Callithrix jacchus: one gene and its partner. The main gene of each other region encodes a partner of the protein of the gene in region 2 in a complex. Links are inferred from orthologs where the notes say so. Each region holds a gene or a part of one and is shown on either strand. Other genes may lie near its edges.

The links.
Region 1: the proteins of TSEN34 (region 2) and TSEN15 are in contact, whole or in part, in a crystal structure (PDB 6Z9U), measured with the Homo sapiens proteins. The link is inferred for Callithrix jacchus from reciprocal best matches to the Homo sapiens genes TSEN34 and TSEN15. Residues at the interface, in NP_001070914.1 of Homo sapiens: Pro251, Leu252, Arg253, Phe254, His255, Ala256, His257, Tyr258, Pro265, Glu266, Asp267, Thr268, Ile269, Pro270, Leu271, Gln272, Leu274, Ser283, Val284, Arg285, Lys286, Thr287, Leu289, Leu290, Cys291, Ser292, Gln294, Val300, Tyr301, Thr302; in NP_443197.1 of Homo sapiens: Leu70, Lys74, Trp76, Thr108, Pro109, Ile110, Thr111, Ala112, Ser113, Leu114, Ser115, His116, Asn117, Ile119, Arg120, Leu123, Leu141, Ile143, Val151, Tyr152, Tyr153, Lys154, Leu155, Thr156, Asp157, Gly158, Phe159, Met160, Leu161, Pro162.

What each region holds. Positions count from the first base shown.
Region 1 is NC_133519.1:42,221,320-42,230,177, forward strand, and holds the start of TSEN15 (tRNA-splicing endonuclease subunit Sen15), read left to right. Parts: upstream 1-3,644; 5' UTR 3,645-3,676; coding exon 3,677-3,811; intron 3,812-6,284; coding exon 6,285-6,366; intron 6,367-6,669; coding exon 6,670-6,805; intron 6,806-8,858. UniProt on the Homo sapiens protein: Non-catalytic subunit of the tRNA-splicing endonuclease complex, a complex responsible for identification and cleavage of the splice sites in pre-tRNA. It cleaves pre-tRNA at the 5' and 3' splice sites to release the intron.
Region 2 is NC_133523.1:47,373,996-47,382,868, reverse strand, and holds TSEN34 (tRNA-splicing endonuclease subunit Sen34), read right to left. Parts: upstream 7,403-8,873; 5' UTR 7,362-7,402; exon of another isoform or gene 7,064-7,361; intron 6,526-7,063; exon of another isoform or gene 6,492-6,525; intron 6,304-6,491; exon of another isoform or gene 6,223-6,303; 5' UTR 6,219-6,222; coding exon 5,976-6,218; intron 5,861-5,975; coding exon 5,617-5,860; intron 5,467-5,616; coding exon 5,209-5,466; intron 4,587-5,208; coding exon 4,399-4,586; 3' UTR 4,097-4,398; downstream 1-4,096. UniProt on the Homo sapiens protein: Constitutes one of the two catalytic subunit of the tRNA-splicing endonuclease complex, a complex responsible for identification and cleavage of the splice sites in pre-tRNA. It cleaves pre-tRNA at the 5'- and 3'-splice sites to release the intron.

The DNA of each region.
Region 1 (8,858 bases), on a different chromosome or scaffold from region 2:
TCCCTTCTTGCATCTGCAGTGTTACTTCTGCCCACATTCGTATGAGTCTGCTTTCTGGCTCCCTACTTTGTTTCGTTGGTTTTACCTATCCATGTGCCAATGTCACATCCTTGTAATTAGATATATTTACAAGAATTTAAATTTTGTTTAAAACTTTACCTTTATAAGATATTTTATATTTCAGAATTTTAACTTCATAAGAGTTTCCTTCCTTTTGTTCATAAAAAGGGTCTTGGTTATCTTTGGTCCCTTATGCCCAAATTTCAGAATCAGCTTATCAGGTATTAAGAAAATCCTTCTTGGGATTTTAATTGGAATTGCTAGAATCTGTAAATAACTTTGGAGGAAATTGCCATCTTTATAATATTGAATTATTCTCTTTCTTGAATCTTTCTCTGTTCTTGAAACACAGAGAATGGGAAATTGTGTGTGTCGGTTACAAAAAAAAAGGAAAAAGATATATATGAGCATCCTTACAGCCAATGAATGAAAAAGCTAATCCAGAATCCTAGACAACATTTTTCAGCATGGGATCACTGTCTCATATAATAGTGTGAAAAAGCTTTTTCTTCTTTTTTTTCACACTAGAGATTCACATCACAATTTAATGTTCGCATTTCCTCTTGAGACTCTTACTGAATTAATATGTCTCTGGCTAGACATTACAGATTTTTGTAGGAATAAAATGGTCTGGCTCAGGATATCATTGGGAAATGAGGTCAGCAAGTGCCAGATTACAATGAATTTTATTAAATCCAATACACTCAGGGGATTTTATTCGTTGTTTCTTATCTAGCCTTTTTTCTCACTACTTTGGTTCTCTAAAGTGAACTATTGAAGCATTTTACAAAAGGAGAAATCCTCCAGGTTACCAGACACCGAAACTCTCCTCTGTTCTCTAGGGGATTTCACTCTAGATTGCTGCAACAGTCATTTGATTCTGCACTGTAAATACTAGGTTGTCTAAGTGTTTCCAAATCCTTTGTGTTCACTTTTAGCAATTCCCAATCACCAAGACTTCAGTTTCCATTGCTTAACAGGGAAGCTAAGAGACACTCCCTTTTCATTCTCCATCTCTTAAATAGACAAGGACATTAAAAGTCAGAAGTATGTAATATTTATGCCTGAATGTATCATGCTTTTTCTAAGCAACAGTATTTAATCTATTTGCCAAAGGATGGCATTTATCTGTTGCTTTTTTGATTTATGGTTCTTTCTTCATCCTTCTAGTTTTTCCTATCTCCAATTTCTTTTTTCTTGAACATAAGCTGAAATTCTTCTCCTGAAGATGTTTGAGGCTGGTTCACATAGTCCCTAATCCCGCTGGAAATCCTTAATGATTTATAAAATTTTTCCCCTACTCAGATTAGCAACAAAACACTCTTAATGCTTCTAAAAATGCCATCATATGAACTAATTTGGATCTTTAGGAGTCAGATTTATTCACTTCCAAGCACTATTCAAGTGTTTCAGTGATTCATGCTTCAATGGCCCTATTAATTTCAGTGCCATTTTCCTCTTTCGGGTTTTGCAGCTGCTTTGTGGAGGCAAAGGTTCATTCAAATGTAATATATTTGAGGGCAATATATGAATCTTCATGTGTGACTTTACATCTCATTCAATAATAGATGCCCTTCTTTTCCCTGTGTATGATATGTTGTTTCTTTTAATGGATTCAAGCTTTTCTCTTTATCTTTTTGACTTTCAATAGTTTGATTAAAATGTAGAATTCTTTGTGTTTATTTTAGTTGTTGTATATTTAGCATTTTGTACTGGCAAATGTCTCTCATTAAATTTGGGGAAATTTTGGCCACTCTTTCTTCAACAGTTTTTTTCTGTCCCTTGTTTTTTTCTACTTCTGTTATTTACATGCATGTTGAATCAAATCTCTGTGGATCTACTCACTTTTTAAAGATAATTTTTCTTGTTGTTGTTTACTTTTAATAATTTATATTGCTCTATTTCAAGTTCCCTACTTTTTCTTCTGTAATTTCTTTCTGGCTGTTAAATTAACCCAGTTAATTTTTTTATTTTTAAAATTATAATTTTCAATCTTCAGAATTTCTATTTGGTTTTAAAAATCTTTTTTTTTCTTTTTTTGCTGAGATTTTCTGTTTGTCTCTTGAGATTTTCATTCATTGAAAACATGTTTTACTTCATTGAAATTGTTTTAATGGTCACTTTAAAATCCTTATCTGTCAGTTTCAACTTCTGATTCATCTCAGGGTCAAACTCTAGAGTATGCAATCCATTTTCTTGAATTTCATATGTCAGATAATTTGGGATAGTATACTGGACTTTATGAGTGTTAAGTGGAGAGTGTGGATTCTATTATTTTTCTCTGATAAGTGTTATTTCCTTTGTATTCGTAGGTAATTTTTCTGGCTAGATTTTAACTGCAAACTCTCTCCCTTTGGAGACAACTCTGATCTCAGTTCAGATTTTTTGTCTTTAACTGAGCTGCTGTGATTCTGTTTTGAGTGGTTCAGGAGCTCTCAGAGATGTGGATTGACAGAGTTTGGGGATCCACTCTCTGATCCTTCCTTGGGATTTCTTAACCTCTTCGGAATTCAAACTATTCTGGCTTCACTTTTCTGCTTCCCCAGATAAGAATAACCAATAAGTTTTATATACACACACCTGCTGCTGCTGCTGCTGCTGCTGCTGCTGCTGCTGCTGCTGCTGCTGCTGCTGCTGAGCCTAACTTCTGGACTGCACTTAGCCCCAAGTTAAATGCCAGAGAGGGGAATGTTCTTGTGGAGTTCCTCATCTTTAAGCAAGCTTGCCCTTCCTACCAGTCTGCTGTTCACTCTCCAGTATATTCAGCTTTTTGTATTGTGTTCAACTTGTTTTCTGCTGGGGATGGTCCAGTAGGGTCTTAGCCTATCATGGTTGAAAGTTGAATTTCTGTCCTGCCTGGAACTTCGGATTTTGAGTCATCCTTGTCTTGGTAAATGCGATAGCCTCCTCACCAGTCCCTGTTTATGTCCTTGCTCCCTACAGTCCATCCTCAACACATCAGAGTGATCCTATGAAAACATAACAGGAGCCTCCAACAGTTTCCCATTTCGCTCACAGTAAATAAAAAATGCTTAAAATGTGCTACTCTGCCTGCCGGAAACTCCTCATCCTTGGCTTCCAGATCACATGCTTGTGCCAGTTTGTATCCTAGCTTTCTGAACACTCATTCAGCAACTCGTGTTTCCTCTAATACTGAAACATGGGTCCAGCCTGTAACTACGGTTCTACTTCAAAGATTTTTGTCAAGGCACTGAGTAAGGCTTTTCCGGTTCTCAGGAATCAGAAACCAGGACCCCACTGTTAAAGGCAAAGAGAACGTATACATCCCCCAACTTTCTCAAAGAACTATAGGCAGCACTGACTTAAAGAGGATTAAGAGCTTCCAGGCGCGGGCTACTCTTGAATATTTTTCAGGCTAGAACTTGCTCGGATTTGAATAAACGCAGAGCAAAACTAGAGACTAAACTAGAGAGCGTTCGCGCAGGTTCTTACTACCTTGGTCAGAAGGGGGGGCTGACGCAACTTTCCTCCCAGATTCAGAGCCTTCTCGTGCAACCACGGCGAGTCTCGAGGAAGCGGAACCCACAGGCGCGCGCGCAGCTGTTTCTGGCCGGGCACGGGTCGCGGTGCACCACGGGAGTGCCAAACCGGCTGCATGGAGGAGCGCGGCGATTCCGAGCCGACCCCCGGCTGCAGCGGCCTGGGTCCGGGCGGTGTTCACGGCTTTGGCGACGGCGGCGGAGCTCCCTCGTGGGCCCCCGAGGACGCCTGGATGGGCTCCCACCCTAAGGTCAGGAGGCGTGAGAGGAGCAGGACGCCGTCCGGGCCCCTAGCCCAGGCAGAACTCCCGGGCTGCCCTCTTACTTTCTCCCTCAGCGCGAGAGCTGAGGATGCGCCCCACCCTCACCGAGGTGGACCGGTGTGCACAGCTGCCAACCTCAGGCAGCATCGGTTTTGTTTGTTTAAATTAGTTGAACTATTCGTTCCGACACCTTCCCCAACCCGCCACCGAAGCCATTCTGGAACCTAGGACCAGACATTAACTCCACCCCTCTCGAGCCGGAGATTCCTAAGAAGCGTTCCATTAGTTTTGCTCTCTAGGTAAATCCCCTTTCCGGGATGAATTCATTTAATCCTCACAGTAACCATGCAAGACAGTTTGTGGCCGATGGATAAGCTCTAGGGGTCCATAATGGTAAAGATTTAGGCACAGTCATATTTACATTTAGCTTTGGGTCCAGAGTACACCTTTATTTTGCAAAGGTGCAGATTCCTAATATTTCAGATTTCTTTGAAAGTTTGAATAGGTTCTTACCCAAAGCAGAGCTACTCACATTTTACTTGTATTTTTCTACAGTAGCAGGAAGGGAGATAAAGATAGTCCCCTGCGTGCTTCTGCTTGAGACATTACTGCCTTGTCCCAGTAAGGTTCCAAGCAGTAAATAGACAAGTGAATGGAGATGTGAGTTTTGTAAAAATCTCAAAAACTGGTCTGGTCTGATACTTTATTAGAATTGTACTCTTCTCCTAGAGAGCAATAATTCATAGATAATAGTCTAAAAACGGAAAAATTTGAAGGTATATGTTTGAAAAGAGTTAACCTTTTTCAGCTTCTCTTGCTTAATTTTATGTTCCTATGCCGTCCCCTTCATTCTTCCAAAAGGTGAGAAAAAGAAACAATAGTATGGAAATACTTAGTGCCATGAAAGAGAAACAATAGCATGGAGAGACAGCATAACGGTTAGGAGCATGAACTCAAAATCAGACTCAGTTTAAATCTTGATTCTGTCACTTATCAACCTTGTGATTTGGGACAAGTTGTTTGATCCCATTATGCCTCAGTTTCCTCACCTGAAAAATGGGGATATTAATAGTCCATACTTACAGGGTTGCTACAGGATTAAATTAGTTAATATTTGTAAGCCATTCAACATATAGAAAGCACTATAAAGCACTTAATAAGTTAAACACCAGTAACAAATTTTTAAAACCTTATCTAGATTTGGTGTTGTTACTCAGTTTACATACTTGTAGAGTTTTTTCATTTTGAAGTTAATGGCTGTGTACATACACCATGACCATCAAATCTCTCCTTTTGATTTATCTTCTTGAAGGACCAAAATGATTTTTAAAAGAAAAGGAAAAGAAATAATAAAGTAATAGGGGGTGTTTGTTTTTCCAATTTCACCTTTTTGTTCATTCAAAAATTACATAGGTTCATCCAGTAAAATGGTATCAGATTTATTATCCTCAAACACACTTTTATTATTCTCTTGCTTAGAAATCCTCAGTGTTTCCTCAATGACAAAAATCACGTTTAGCTTAAGACCTTGCAGCCTGGCTCAAAATTATGTTTTGAGTGTCACTTTCCAACATGTTTGAAGTAGACAACTAATAACCCATATCCTCCTGTACCTGTGCAGTTACAGTGAAGCTGATGGGAGAATGTGACTTAGGACCTGTCCCCATGCAGGTCTGCTAGTACTTCACCTCAGCATTAGCCCCACATATCCACCTAGTCACCAGCATAGCTGGGCAGCTTCAGAATTCTGCAGGTGTAGGCCCCTGAAACACGTTTCCCTTATGCTGATCAGTTGTCTGAAAGAAGCAGCTTTCTCTAGTTTCTTGTCAATCCCCTTTTAAAAATCTAATGATTAAATAATTCCGTACTCTTAAAGTGCGAAAGAATGGGTAGAGAAGCTAGGACTGATACTGTGGCAGACTCTCTCCACAGATAAATAAGAGGCTAGGGAAATACACAGTACCTACTAATAGGTCCCAACGTAAATCTTATTAAAAAGGTTTCTATTGCTGGGAGATAGGTTTCTTTACAGTCCCTTGAATACGTGTGACTTAATCCCACCTTTGTGTGATTACCTGCACTATTACTCAACTTCTCCATTTACTCAAATGATAATGTTCTGTGCTCAACTTGTATCCTATCCTGCCTCTGCTGTAAAGCTTTCACCAGTCCCTCTGAGTAGAGCTCTTCTGACCTGTCGTGTCATGTTTCTTATTCCATTTACGTGGTTTTTAATCACGGTCATATATTGTTATTTGCCTAACAATGTTAAGTACGCATGTATTTAACAATCGCAAGTTCTTTAGAGACAGAGATAATATTTTATATTGCCTTTTAACTTCCACTATACCCAGAAGAATTTTATGGATTATATATACTTAATGACTGACTACTTGTTGATTGAAAGAAAATATTAAACAATTCTTCCTTCTCGATTTGACAATTATATTTTAATTTTCAGTATTTAGAAATGATGGAATTAGATATAGGAGATGCCACCCAAGTTTATATAGCATTCTTGGTTTACCTGGACCTCATGGAAAGTAAGTTGTTTGTTTATACTGTTTTGTTATTGGGACTGTGGTAGAGGTTTGGGGGATTGGATTGGGATATATATAGCATTCTTCACATTATAATAAGCAATCTTATATGCATTTGCTGTTAATTTTGTAATTTCTTCATTTATTTACATTGGGAATTACTGAGTAATAGAAACTACTAGAAAAGCAAAGAGAGGAGGTAGTGTTATGAGTGATATTTGCTCAGCTGAGTTTTAGGCAGAAGTTTGGAGTTTTTATCTTTTGATTTTAATAAACATTATTGTCCATTCAATGATGCTCTTTCAGGCAAAAGCTGGCATGAAGTAAACTGTGTAGGATTACCAGAACTTCAGCTCATCTGCCTTGTTGGTACTGAGATAGAAGGGGAAGGGTTACAGACTGTGGTGCCTACCCCCATCACTGCTTCCCTCAGCCATAACAGGTGAGCAGGTGATTTTGGTTTAAGTTCCTTTCCCAAGTAAAGAAGTAGGAAACATTAAAGGTAGCGATACAGTATTTTTAAAGAAGTTTGGGATACAGCAACCATAGCTTTACTCTTGGCTATTTGAGGAATAAGTTAAATATGACTGTTGTATTCAGCCGTTCTTGCATTACTATAAATATCTGAGATTTTTTTTTTTTTTTATTTCTTTAAAAAAAGGTTTATGGGACTCATAGTTCTGCGGACTTTACAGTAAGCATGCTGCTGGCATCTATGTGGCTTCTAGGGAGGCCTCAGAAAGCTTATAATCATGGCAGGGGATGAACCAAGAACAGGCACGTATATGGCAAAAGCAGGAGTGAGAGAGAATGTGTTGAGGGGGAGGTTCCACACACTTTTAAATGGCCAGATCTCACAAGAACTCATTGTCCTGAAGACAGCTCCTAGCCATGAGGGATTTACGCCCATAACCCAAATACCTCCCACCAGGCCCCACCTTCAACATTGGGGATGGCAGTTCAACATGGGATTTGGGCAGGAACAAATATACAAAGTATATCAAGGATTGAACAAGTATTTATTTAGCACTTACTCTGTGGTCAGTACTTTTTCAGAGACGGTATGTATGGTAGAAATATTAGCCTTATGGAAGTATTTATATTCTTGATAAGGAAGCAAGACCATTACATTTGAAATAATAGATATTATAAGATATACCATGTAATAGAAGTCATACTTGATATAGGAGTTGGTAAAGAGCATGATTAACATTAATTGAAATCAAAGAAAGTTTCATGTAGTTTATGGGACCTTTTTTTAAAAAGCTTAGGTACACAGCATTATATTAAACATGTCTTTGTTTCATGACGTATTCTCATTATTAGTTCATGCTTGGTTTTTATTTATTTACTTAGTTATTTTTAATAATGTTGTAAGTATCTCTGTACCCATCACCCGAAGCAAAACTAGGTTCTTGACTATAACTAACATCTAATCTTGTAAGTCCCTTAACATGTTCTCACTGACCTGAGGTAACTGTCATTCTGAATTCCATGTTTATTGGGAATTTTTAAATTTTAGATATTTTTAACTTCAATTTAAAAATCTTGTCTTTTATGACTGAACTTATACACTTAATATTATATTGCTAAAATTCATCCATTGTTGTGCCTTTTTTGGGCTGCCATATAATATTACATTGTGTGATTATACCACCATTTTCACATCCACTCCCTTGATGATGGAGTGTTGCTAATGTTTGACTTTAGGAGGTAATTTCAAACATTTTCAAATTGGTTGCCTCAATTTACTTTTCACCTGCAATGTAATCAAGACCCTTTGGAGCTGTATTGTCTCTACGTTGAGTATTGTCAGACTTTTAAATTTTGCCAACAGAATGGATTATTCTCATTGTGGTCTTAATTTGCCTTTCTCTCATCAATCATAATACTGAATATTTCTTAATATATGTATTATTTATAAGAAACATCTGTTCATTTCTTTTGCCTATTGGGTTGCCTTTAGTTTTCTCATTGACTTCTATGAATCTTTATATATTCTTGACATTAATAGTTTTTGATTGTGTTTTCCAGTTTTTAAATCTTTCACTGTCTTTAAGGTGTCTTTTAATTAATAATAGTTCTTAATTTGAATATAATTATATTTATCCATCTTTTATAATCAACATCTTTGTGTCTAGTTTAAGAAATATTTTCTATCTAAAGGTCTAAAAAATATTCACCTATATTTTCACTAAGAGTTCCATTGTTGTTGTTTTTAATGGTGTGAGAGGAGGTTAGGGATACCATTGTCATATGGATAACCACTTTTTCTACTTCCATTTACTGAATAGTCCTTCCTTTGCTCATTATCTGACATATCACTTCTGCTGTTTTCCAAAGTTCTAAACATGCATTAATTTGTCTCTGGGTTCACTGTTATATTCCATTAGTCAGTTTATCTGTCCTTTTGCCAATACCACATCTTCTTAATTGCTTGCTCCATAAGAAGTCCTTGTATCTGGTTAGCAAGCCTCCCTATGCGTTTCTTCTTT
Region 2 (8,873 bases):
GGGTAAAAGGCAAAGCAGGAGAGGTAGGCATGCTGTGTGACCTTTACTTCTTTAAATCTGCAGTAAGTGGAGCTGAGCAGTTCAGACTCATGTTGCTCAAGGGTCAGCTGATGAGACTGGGCCTCACCTTGATCCTCTTCAGAAGCATGGTCCAATCACAGGGCACTGGCCCCTCTTCCACAAACCCCTCATGCTTCCTCCCTTTCACTCAGCCTGGAGCCCTCTGGCCCTTCTGCTCTGAAAGGCACACAGGTAATATAAAAGGAACCCTTGGTTTCCATCATGGGTTGCCAGGGACCAGTTGGGCATGCTTGGGGAGCTGAATTCCTTTCTTTTCTTTTGTACAAGTGTAATACAATCTAATTATGCCCCATCTGTAGGACGCAAAAGCATGTAGCTGTTTGCAAAAATGAAGCAAGCCTGGGCATATCAAAAAAGCAAGCTGCTGAGTGTGTATAGTATGCTACAATTTGCATTAATAAAAATCATAAATGCATATTAAAAATATGCTTAGAAAGTCGTATATTAGGGGAAATTATAATTTCCAAGTTGTCTCAGCCAGCCTTGATTTAAAAATGATAGTTTAAACCACTCATGGCCAGGTGCAGTGGTTCACACCTGCAATCCCAGCACTTTAGGTCAGGAGATCGAGACCATACTGACCAACATTGTGGAACCCCATCTCTACTAAAATACACACACCAAAAAAACAACTCATTCATTTAGCAATAATATACTGACTGCTTACTGTGTGCTAGGAACTGTTCTTGGTCCTGGGGCTGCTGCATGAACAAGGGAAAATACAACGAAAACAAAAACCTTTCCTTAACTGTGTGCCAACAACTTGTGAATGGATAAACAAAGTGTGGTTGTGTCCACACAATGGAAGTTTCATCAGTAAAAAGGAACAAAGCTGGCTGGACGAGGTGGCTCACGCCTGTAATCCTAGCACTTTGGGAGGCTGAGGTGGACAGATGGCCTGAGCTCAGGAGTTCGAGCCTGGGCAACAGGGTGAAACCCCATCTCTACTAAAATACAAAACACTAGCTTGGCATGCAGGCGGGCACCTGTAATCCCAGGTACTTGGGAGGCTGAGGTGGGAGAATCGCTTGAACCCGGGAGGCAGAGGCTGCAGTGAGCTGAGACTATGCTACTGCACTGCAGCCTGGGCAACAGAGCAAGACTCTGATCTCAAAATAAATTAAAAAAAAAAAAATGCTTGCCTTATACTCATTACTGGAGATAGTAAAAAAAATTTAAAAATGCCGGGCGCCGTGGCTCACACCGGTAATCCCAGCACTTTGGGAGGCCAAGGCAAGTGGATCACGAGGTCAAGAGATCGAGACCATCCTGGTCAACGTGGTGAAACCCCGTCTCTACTAAAAATATAAAAAATTAGCTGGGCATGGTGGCACGTGCCTGTAATCCCAGCTACTCAGGAGGCTGAGGCAGGAGAATTGCCTGAACCCAGGAGGCGGAGGTTGCGGTGAGGCGAGATCGCGCCATTGCACTCCAGCCTGGGTAACAAGAGCGAAACTCCGTCTCAAAAAGAAAAAATAAGGAAGAGGATGCTTGAAGTATGAAAATGCTGAAGTCTTAGTTTAAAAAAAATAATAGTAAGAGGACGCATGTGGTCAGTTCATGAGGAACCTGCAAAGTGAGGCCTTTGGCTTTCACTCGGAGATGGAAAACTGCGAGTTTTAGACAAGGGCTGTGAAATGGTCTGACTTATCTTTTAATATGATGATTCTGGCTGCTCTGTTGAAAACAGTCAACAGAGGGGCAAGGCTAGAAGGCAGGGGATGAGTTAGGACACTATTAGGATCAAATGAGCAATGGTTTGGTTTTTCTAAGATGCTGCCAGTGAAGGTGGAGGGCAGGGGCCAAACTTAGAACATGGCACCTACAGAATTTGTTGACTGATGACATGGAAACATCAGTCACAAAAGTTTTCTTTTTTTTTTTAAATAGAGGCGAGGTCTCACTATGTTCAGCTCAGGCTGGTGTCGAACTCCTGAGCTCAACTGATCTTCCCACCCTGGCCTCCCAAAGTGCTAGGATTACAGGCCTGAGCCACCACACCCAGCCACAAAAGTTTTGAATGAGAAACTTTTCAGAGGAGAGGCTCATGACAGAGGTACTGAGACATCTAATTACTTGTTGTAGAGAGGAGAAAGGGTAGAGCATAGACTTACAAGCCACTTATCAAACAGGCACAAAGATTAGTCTTGGCCAGACAGAGGTTAGTGTCTTTTCCTTTTTTTTTTTTGAGACGGAGTTTCGCTCCTGTTACCCAGGCTGGAGTGCAATGGCGCAATCTCGGCTCACCACAACCTCCGCCTCCTGGGTTCAGGCAATTCTCCTGCCTCAGCCTCCCGAGTAGCTGGGATTACAGGCACGCGCCACAATGCCCAGCTAATTTTTTGTATTTTTAGTAGAGACGGGGTTTCACCATGTTGAACTGGATGGTCTCAATCTCTTGACCTCGTGATCCACCGGTCTCGGCCTCCCAAAGTGCTGGGATTACAGGCGTGAGCCACCGCGCCCGGCCCCTTTTTCTTTTTTAAATGGAATTTCGCTCTTGTTGCCCAGGCTGGAGTGCAGTGGTGCAATCTCGGCTCACTGCAACTTTGGCCTCCTGGGTTCAAGTGATTCTCCTGCTTCAGGCTCCTGAGTAGCTTGGATAGATTACAGGCGTCCACCACCACACCTGGCTAATTTTTTTTGTACTTTTAGTACAGATGGGGTTTCACCATATTGGCCAGGCTAGTCTCGAACTTGGGGTTTCACCATATTGGCCAGGCTAGTCTCGAACTCGGGGTTTCACCATATTGGCCAAGCTCATCTCGAACTCGGGGTTTCACCATATTGGCCAGGCTAGTGTCAAACTCCTGACCTTAGGTGATCCACCCACCTCAGACTCCCAAAGTGCTAGGATTACAGGCGGGAGCCACCACACCCAGCCCAGTGTCGTATTTTAAATTAAACCTTTAGGAAATTGAGATTCTATGAAGTCTGTTTACTGGTAATGTCAAGAAAGTGGGGAGATGGAAGTCTCTCAAAACCTATTCTGATTCCAGAGGCCGCTCAATTCACAGAAGAGAGAGAGAGAGAAAAAGATAGCTAGATGGACAGATAGATAGATATATGTAGGGAAAAGAAATTAAGAACTAGAAATAAAGACTTTCAGCCCCAGAATTCTAGGCTGTGACTATTACACTGACAAAATAAAACTGCACACTGGTAGGATAAAGGTACTGGATTCGTGGCAGTGTTCCAGTACCGAGTTCTAAGCAAAACCGTGGGTAAACGATTTCAAAAGTGCGTATTTTATACACATACATGTTTTAGCTTTTGTAAAAGTTGCAGAATATAACACATAAAAAAACGAGTCTAAAATATCAATGTACAGCAGCAAAAAAATTCTCAACTACTACCCAGGCCATGAAAAAGCAGAACGCCTTCCAGAGTCCTTCCTGACATCCTCCCCATGCTCTGAACTCCTAAAATTACAATATTCTCATCTCCTTTTTTCTTTCATATGTATGTACATATACATATATACACACACACATATACATATGTATATATATTCACACACACACAGACACACACTTTTTTTTTGAGACAAGGTCTCTTGCTCTGTCTCCTATGTTGGAGTGCAGTGGTGCGATCACAGCTCACAGCAGCCTCAACTTCCCAGGCTTAAGGGATCCCTGGCTAATTTTTTTAAATTATTTTTTTGTAGAGATGGGGTATTACAGCGTCACCAGAGCTGGTCTCAAGCAATCCTCCTGCGATGGCCTCCCAAAGTGCTGTGGGATTACAGGTGTGAGCCATCACGCCCAGCCTATATTTTTATTTATGCATGCATCTGAGAAGTTTCATAGAAATCTTTTCAAAAGGAAGTTTAGTGTGGTAGAAAGAGGGCAGATTTAGGAGTCAGAAAAAAACATTTTTAAAGGCCAGGCCTGCTGTTGACTAGCTGTGTGACCTTGGCAAGTCATCCCCTCCTCCAGGCCTTTTTCTCATCTGTACATGCAGATAAGACCGCCAGCAGGTTCCAGGATTGTCATAAGAATTCAACTCATGAACATTCAGATAACAAGTTTATTGAGACCTCCTGAGACTTAACCCCTGTAGAAAACAGATGAATCAAACCCAGTTCCCATTCTCAGGAAGCTCACAGTGTGAAAACAGGTAACTGCAAAACAACACAGCCAGGAAGTGCTTTGAGACAAGGAAGAACATAAAAAGGACTTAGCGTTGGAAAACCTGGAATCAAAAACTAAGCGCAGAGAAAGGTGGGAGGATGTTCTAGACTCCCAGAAAAAGCTTGGGAACATCCAGAAAGGCTCTTGCTGCCGACACAGCCACATCCGCCTAGGTCTCTGGAGTTCACTGCAGGCTGGCCCACTGCAGGGAGGTGTAGACCACCTTACCATCAGGCTGCGGAGAGCAGAGGAGCAGGGTCTTTCTGACGCTGGTTCCAAGGCGCCCAGCAGCAACCAGGTCCTGGAGTGGGATGGGGTCCTCGGGGGCCCAGCACTGAGCGATGTAGTGGGCGTGGAAGCGGAGTGGGTCACCTGGTGGGGACAGAGGCACTGAAGCAGTGGCCAATGGCAGGGGGTAGAAGCCACAGGAGTGACTGCTGGTGGGAGATGCGAGAGCATTTCAGCAACTCCTCTGGATGGTCTAAACCAGATAATGCTTGGACCAACTACTACACTTCTAGATTTTTTTTCTTTTAAAGACAGGGTTTCTTCACGTTGGCCAGGCTGGTCTTGAACTCCTGACCTCAGGTGATCTGCCCGCCTCAGTCTCCCAAAGTGCTGAGATTACAGGCGTGAGCCATCGCACCGGCCTGATGTCTGCTTCTGAGTTAATCTTCTGGATCACAGTAAGCATTTAATAAGAGTCGCTAAACTGCTTGCCCAGTGAGTTGGGGAGCTCTCAAATGTTTCTTGTCCATCTGTGAATGTAAGAAGCTAACAGAAAGTGAGACAAAAAAGAAAAATGCAGCTGGGCCTGTAATCCCAGCACTTTGGGAGGCTGAGGTGCGAAGATTGCTTGAGCCCAGGAATTGGGACCAGCCTGAGCAACAACACAGACCCCATCTCTGTTAAGAGAAGAAAGGTAAGAAAACCGCAGAATACATTGAGATTGTAAAGACTAGCATAGCAACCAGAGGCCCCAACCCAAACTCACCCGGATAGACCAGGAAGTCACCTCCAAACTTCCCAGCCGCGCTGAGGAAGAAGCCCCGCTCCCACAGGTCTCTGTAGATGCTGTAGCGCAGCTCATGGGCAGGGCGGCCGGCGTGGGGCCAGTCTTTAGACTGGACACGCCAGTCCAGGGGCCTGGCCTTGACAGGTCGAGGCCTGGCAGTGGCCAGCTGGACAAGGAGAGCAGATCTGGGCAAGGGGGCTACTCCATTTGAGGGTCCTGCTTGGGAAGAGGAGGGGCCTGGTTGAAGTACAGAGAAGAGTTTGGTAAATCCAAGGGGCAAAGTCTTCGCACCCTCAAGGAGACCCAGGCACTGGATTCCCAGCTAAAATTCCCAAAAGATCTCTCCTTTTCTTCCCATGGTCCCTGGACTCCACCTCCCACGCTCACCGGCTTCCTCCTGCTCTCCCGAAGCCTGGAGATCACTGGTCTCGTTCACTTTGGCAGCCTGGCTCCCGCCGGCCTCCTGGCTCGCGCTGGCCCCTGAAGCCTGTTCCAGCTTCTGCTTCTTGGCAGCCTGGCCCTCCGTAATCTTCTCTAGGAGCTCCTGCCGACGGGTCTCCCGGGCCTCAGCTGCCAAGGCGCTCTGCTCCTGGAAGCTCTGTTCTTGTTGGCGCTTGAAGGATGTCAGGGCCTGAGAAGCACACTTCGCTGGAACCTCCAAGCTTATGGTCGCTTCGGAAGCCAGTAATCCGGACTCTCAGGCCCCGCTCCCACCAGATCCAGGAGTTCGAGCCCCGCCCCCTTACCAGGCTGTGGTGCCGAGGGTCTGGGCGCGGGGCGCTGACCAGAGTCACAGCACCGATCTCTGCCAGGAGCCGCGCCTCTTCGGGCATCAACAGCAGCGGGAGGCCCAAGCGTGAGTTCTGGCGGGGCCCGCGGGGCAGGGCGCCTACCGTGCGGCCCCCCACTCCCAGGCGCTCCCGGAGGGCCTGAACCGCCTCGGCCCCCCACACCAGGGAGCGGCCGTTCGCCACCTCCACAACCAGCATCCTCCTGCGGGAGCCGGGAGACAAAGCGGTCACCGAAACAGCTGCGCCGCGGGCCCCCGGGAGAGCACTCGGCGCCTCGGGATCTGGCAAAACCCCGCCCCCAGGCCACAAAGGGCGGGGCCTCGCTCGGCCGCTGTTCACCACCTGCTGGGCCCAAGTGCCAGGCCCCGCCCCCGGACGATCCCACCAGGCTCCGCGGCCGCCGGAGACGGAGCCCCGCTCAGCCCTTGTGACCCTGCCGTCGGCACCCGCTCTGTGCCCACACTGCCCTACCTGCTATTGCGCCTTCAAGTCTCAAAAAGAAACCACAAGCGCGGCGAATCACCCCCTTATAAAGGTCCATTTTGGCTCCACCCTCTTGCAAAGTGGGCGTTCCCGTCGGGGATCAAAAGCTCTCGAAGCTAAAGCACCGCCGAGGCCACACCCTCTTCGGGACGCTCCGGCCTTAGCTCCTCCTGTTTCCGAACCACTGTGATTCGGCTGTCGGGCCTACTCGCTCTCAGACTCCCACAGTACGAAACCCTGCTCCCTCCTTGGAGCGGGAGGTTCGGCGTTCGGGAGTCCTCGACTCCACCGAATACACCGCCCCGCCCCCTTCTCGAACGTGAGCCATTTGGCGTTCGGGTGTTCTCGGCTCGGCCGACTACGTAGCCCGCCCACTCCCGGACGCACAAGGTTCGGCGTTCTGCGTCATCGGCTTCTGGCAGTCCCGCAGCCTGTGGCCCCTCCCACTCCAAGAGCCAGCGCACCCCAGTTGGGGAGTTCCCGCCCCACGACCGAACCCCGTAGCCGAAAGCCCCGCCCCCTGGCCACCCGCCATCCACTCTCCGCTCGGGCAGGCTCACCCCACTTAGGAGCGCTCAGTCCGCTTCCTTGCTTCCCTTCAGAATGTCCCACGGTCCACGGATAGAATCACCGAGTCACCTCAGATACCACCAACTCGCAGTCAAGGCGGAGCCACCCACTACGCACCGCGCGCCACGCTCTGCTTCCTCCACCCTCCCCTCCCCATGTCGACCCCCAGCGTCAATTTCGTCATTCCGCCGCCTCGGCGCCGCGGGAAGTCAGGACCCTCCCCTCACAGGCCTGGAGCCCCGCCTTCTTCCCGCGGTGGCCACCTTGGCACCCCCACATCGAGCGCACCTCCCTCTGCCGCTACTCCGGAATTTGAGGATCGTCTCCCTGACCCCGCCCCCTACGCGCACGCCGATCTCCGGGGTTCCGCCCCTTTGAGGGCAAGTCGCTTTCGCCCCTCCACTTTGTAAATATTCTTCCGTATCTGCCGAACCTGTTGACTCCGCCTATCATCCTAGCGTCACTTATACCCAACTATCTACGAAGTAAACCGAAACTTGTAGCCCCACCCACATCCGGCCGAGTGTGGTCCCGCCCACATCAGAACAGCGACCCTGACTCGACTATCTCCGAAGAAAGCCGAAACGTGTGGCCCCGCCCACGCCGGCCCCACCACTCGGTTCTCGACTATCTCCGAAGTGAGCGGAAGTTTGTGGCCCCACCTCCAGTGAACTCAAGCTCCCGACTGTGCCCGAAGGAACCCGAACGGAGACCCCGCCTCATCTCTCACGCTAGGCTCCAGACCCCGCCTCTTTTCCGGATCCTGTCTTATCCTCCCCGGGCCCAAGGCTTTTGGCTCCTCCTTGTTCCGAGCCCGAGGCCCCGCCCCTTCACGTACTCGGAACTCGGAGCCCATTGCAGACCTGGACTCGAGTGCCGCTGCTGGCTCGCGCTCCTGGCGCCCGCTCCCGGGCTTCTTCCCTGCCCGCCCGGGGCCCTGACCGTGGCCTCATCCCCGGCCCGATCCGCGGGGCTCGGCGGGCGCCCCGAAGGAGCAGGCGGCGCGGGGGCGCACTGGGCGGGGGAGGCGTGGCCGGAGCCGCGGCGGCTCGCGGGCTGGGACTGCTCGGCCGCCTCCTTCCCGGCGGGCGGCTCAGGTGGGCCGGGGTGGCGGCCCCCAATGGCAAGGCGGGGGTCACGCGGTGGCGGGGTAGCTACGGACTGGCGGGTGCGGGGCGGCTCCGGGGCGCGCTGGAGTTCGGGGCTGGCGCAACCTCCTGTAGCTCTGTCGGGAGTGGGATCCGACCCACGCTGGCGTGCGCGGGACATGCTGGGCCTGGGCCTGGGGAAAGGAGGGGCTCCGATCCCCGAATTCTCAATAGGAGAGGGGTCTGGAGCGCCAAAGAGGTTGGAGGCTGGAGCCCCGGGCTCCTCTGGGTGCTCTCGAAGGAGAAGGGCTCGGGGTTACGAATATCTGGTTTCACAAGGGCCGGGGATGGGGGATGCAAAGAGGGGGTCTGGGCTCCTGGATCCTCGCTGGAAGAGGGGGCTTGGACGTCTAGACTCCTGGGCTCTCAAAGAGGAGGGGTCCGGGAGGGGTGCTGCTTCTGGGTTTTTTAAGGAGGGGCGTCTTCAAATCTGGGTCTTCAGCATGGGTGCAGGGAGTAGCTTTGATTTCTGCATTTGAAAAGGTGGGGCCTGGGTGCTGGGAGAGCCCCACGCTTTCCTGCGTTCTCAAAGGAGGAGGGCTGGAGCCCTGTGCACTCTGAAAGGAGAGGAGTCTCCTGTCTTCCTGTCTCCTCCAAGGAGGAAGGAGCTGGAGTCCCGGTTCCTAGGTTCTCAAAGGAGAGGCGCTGAGAC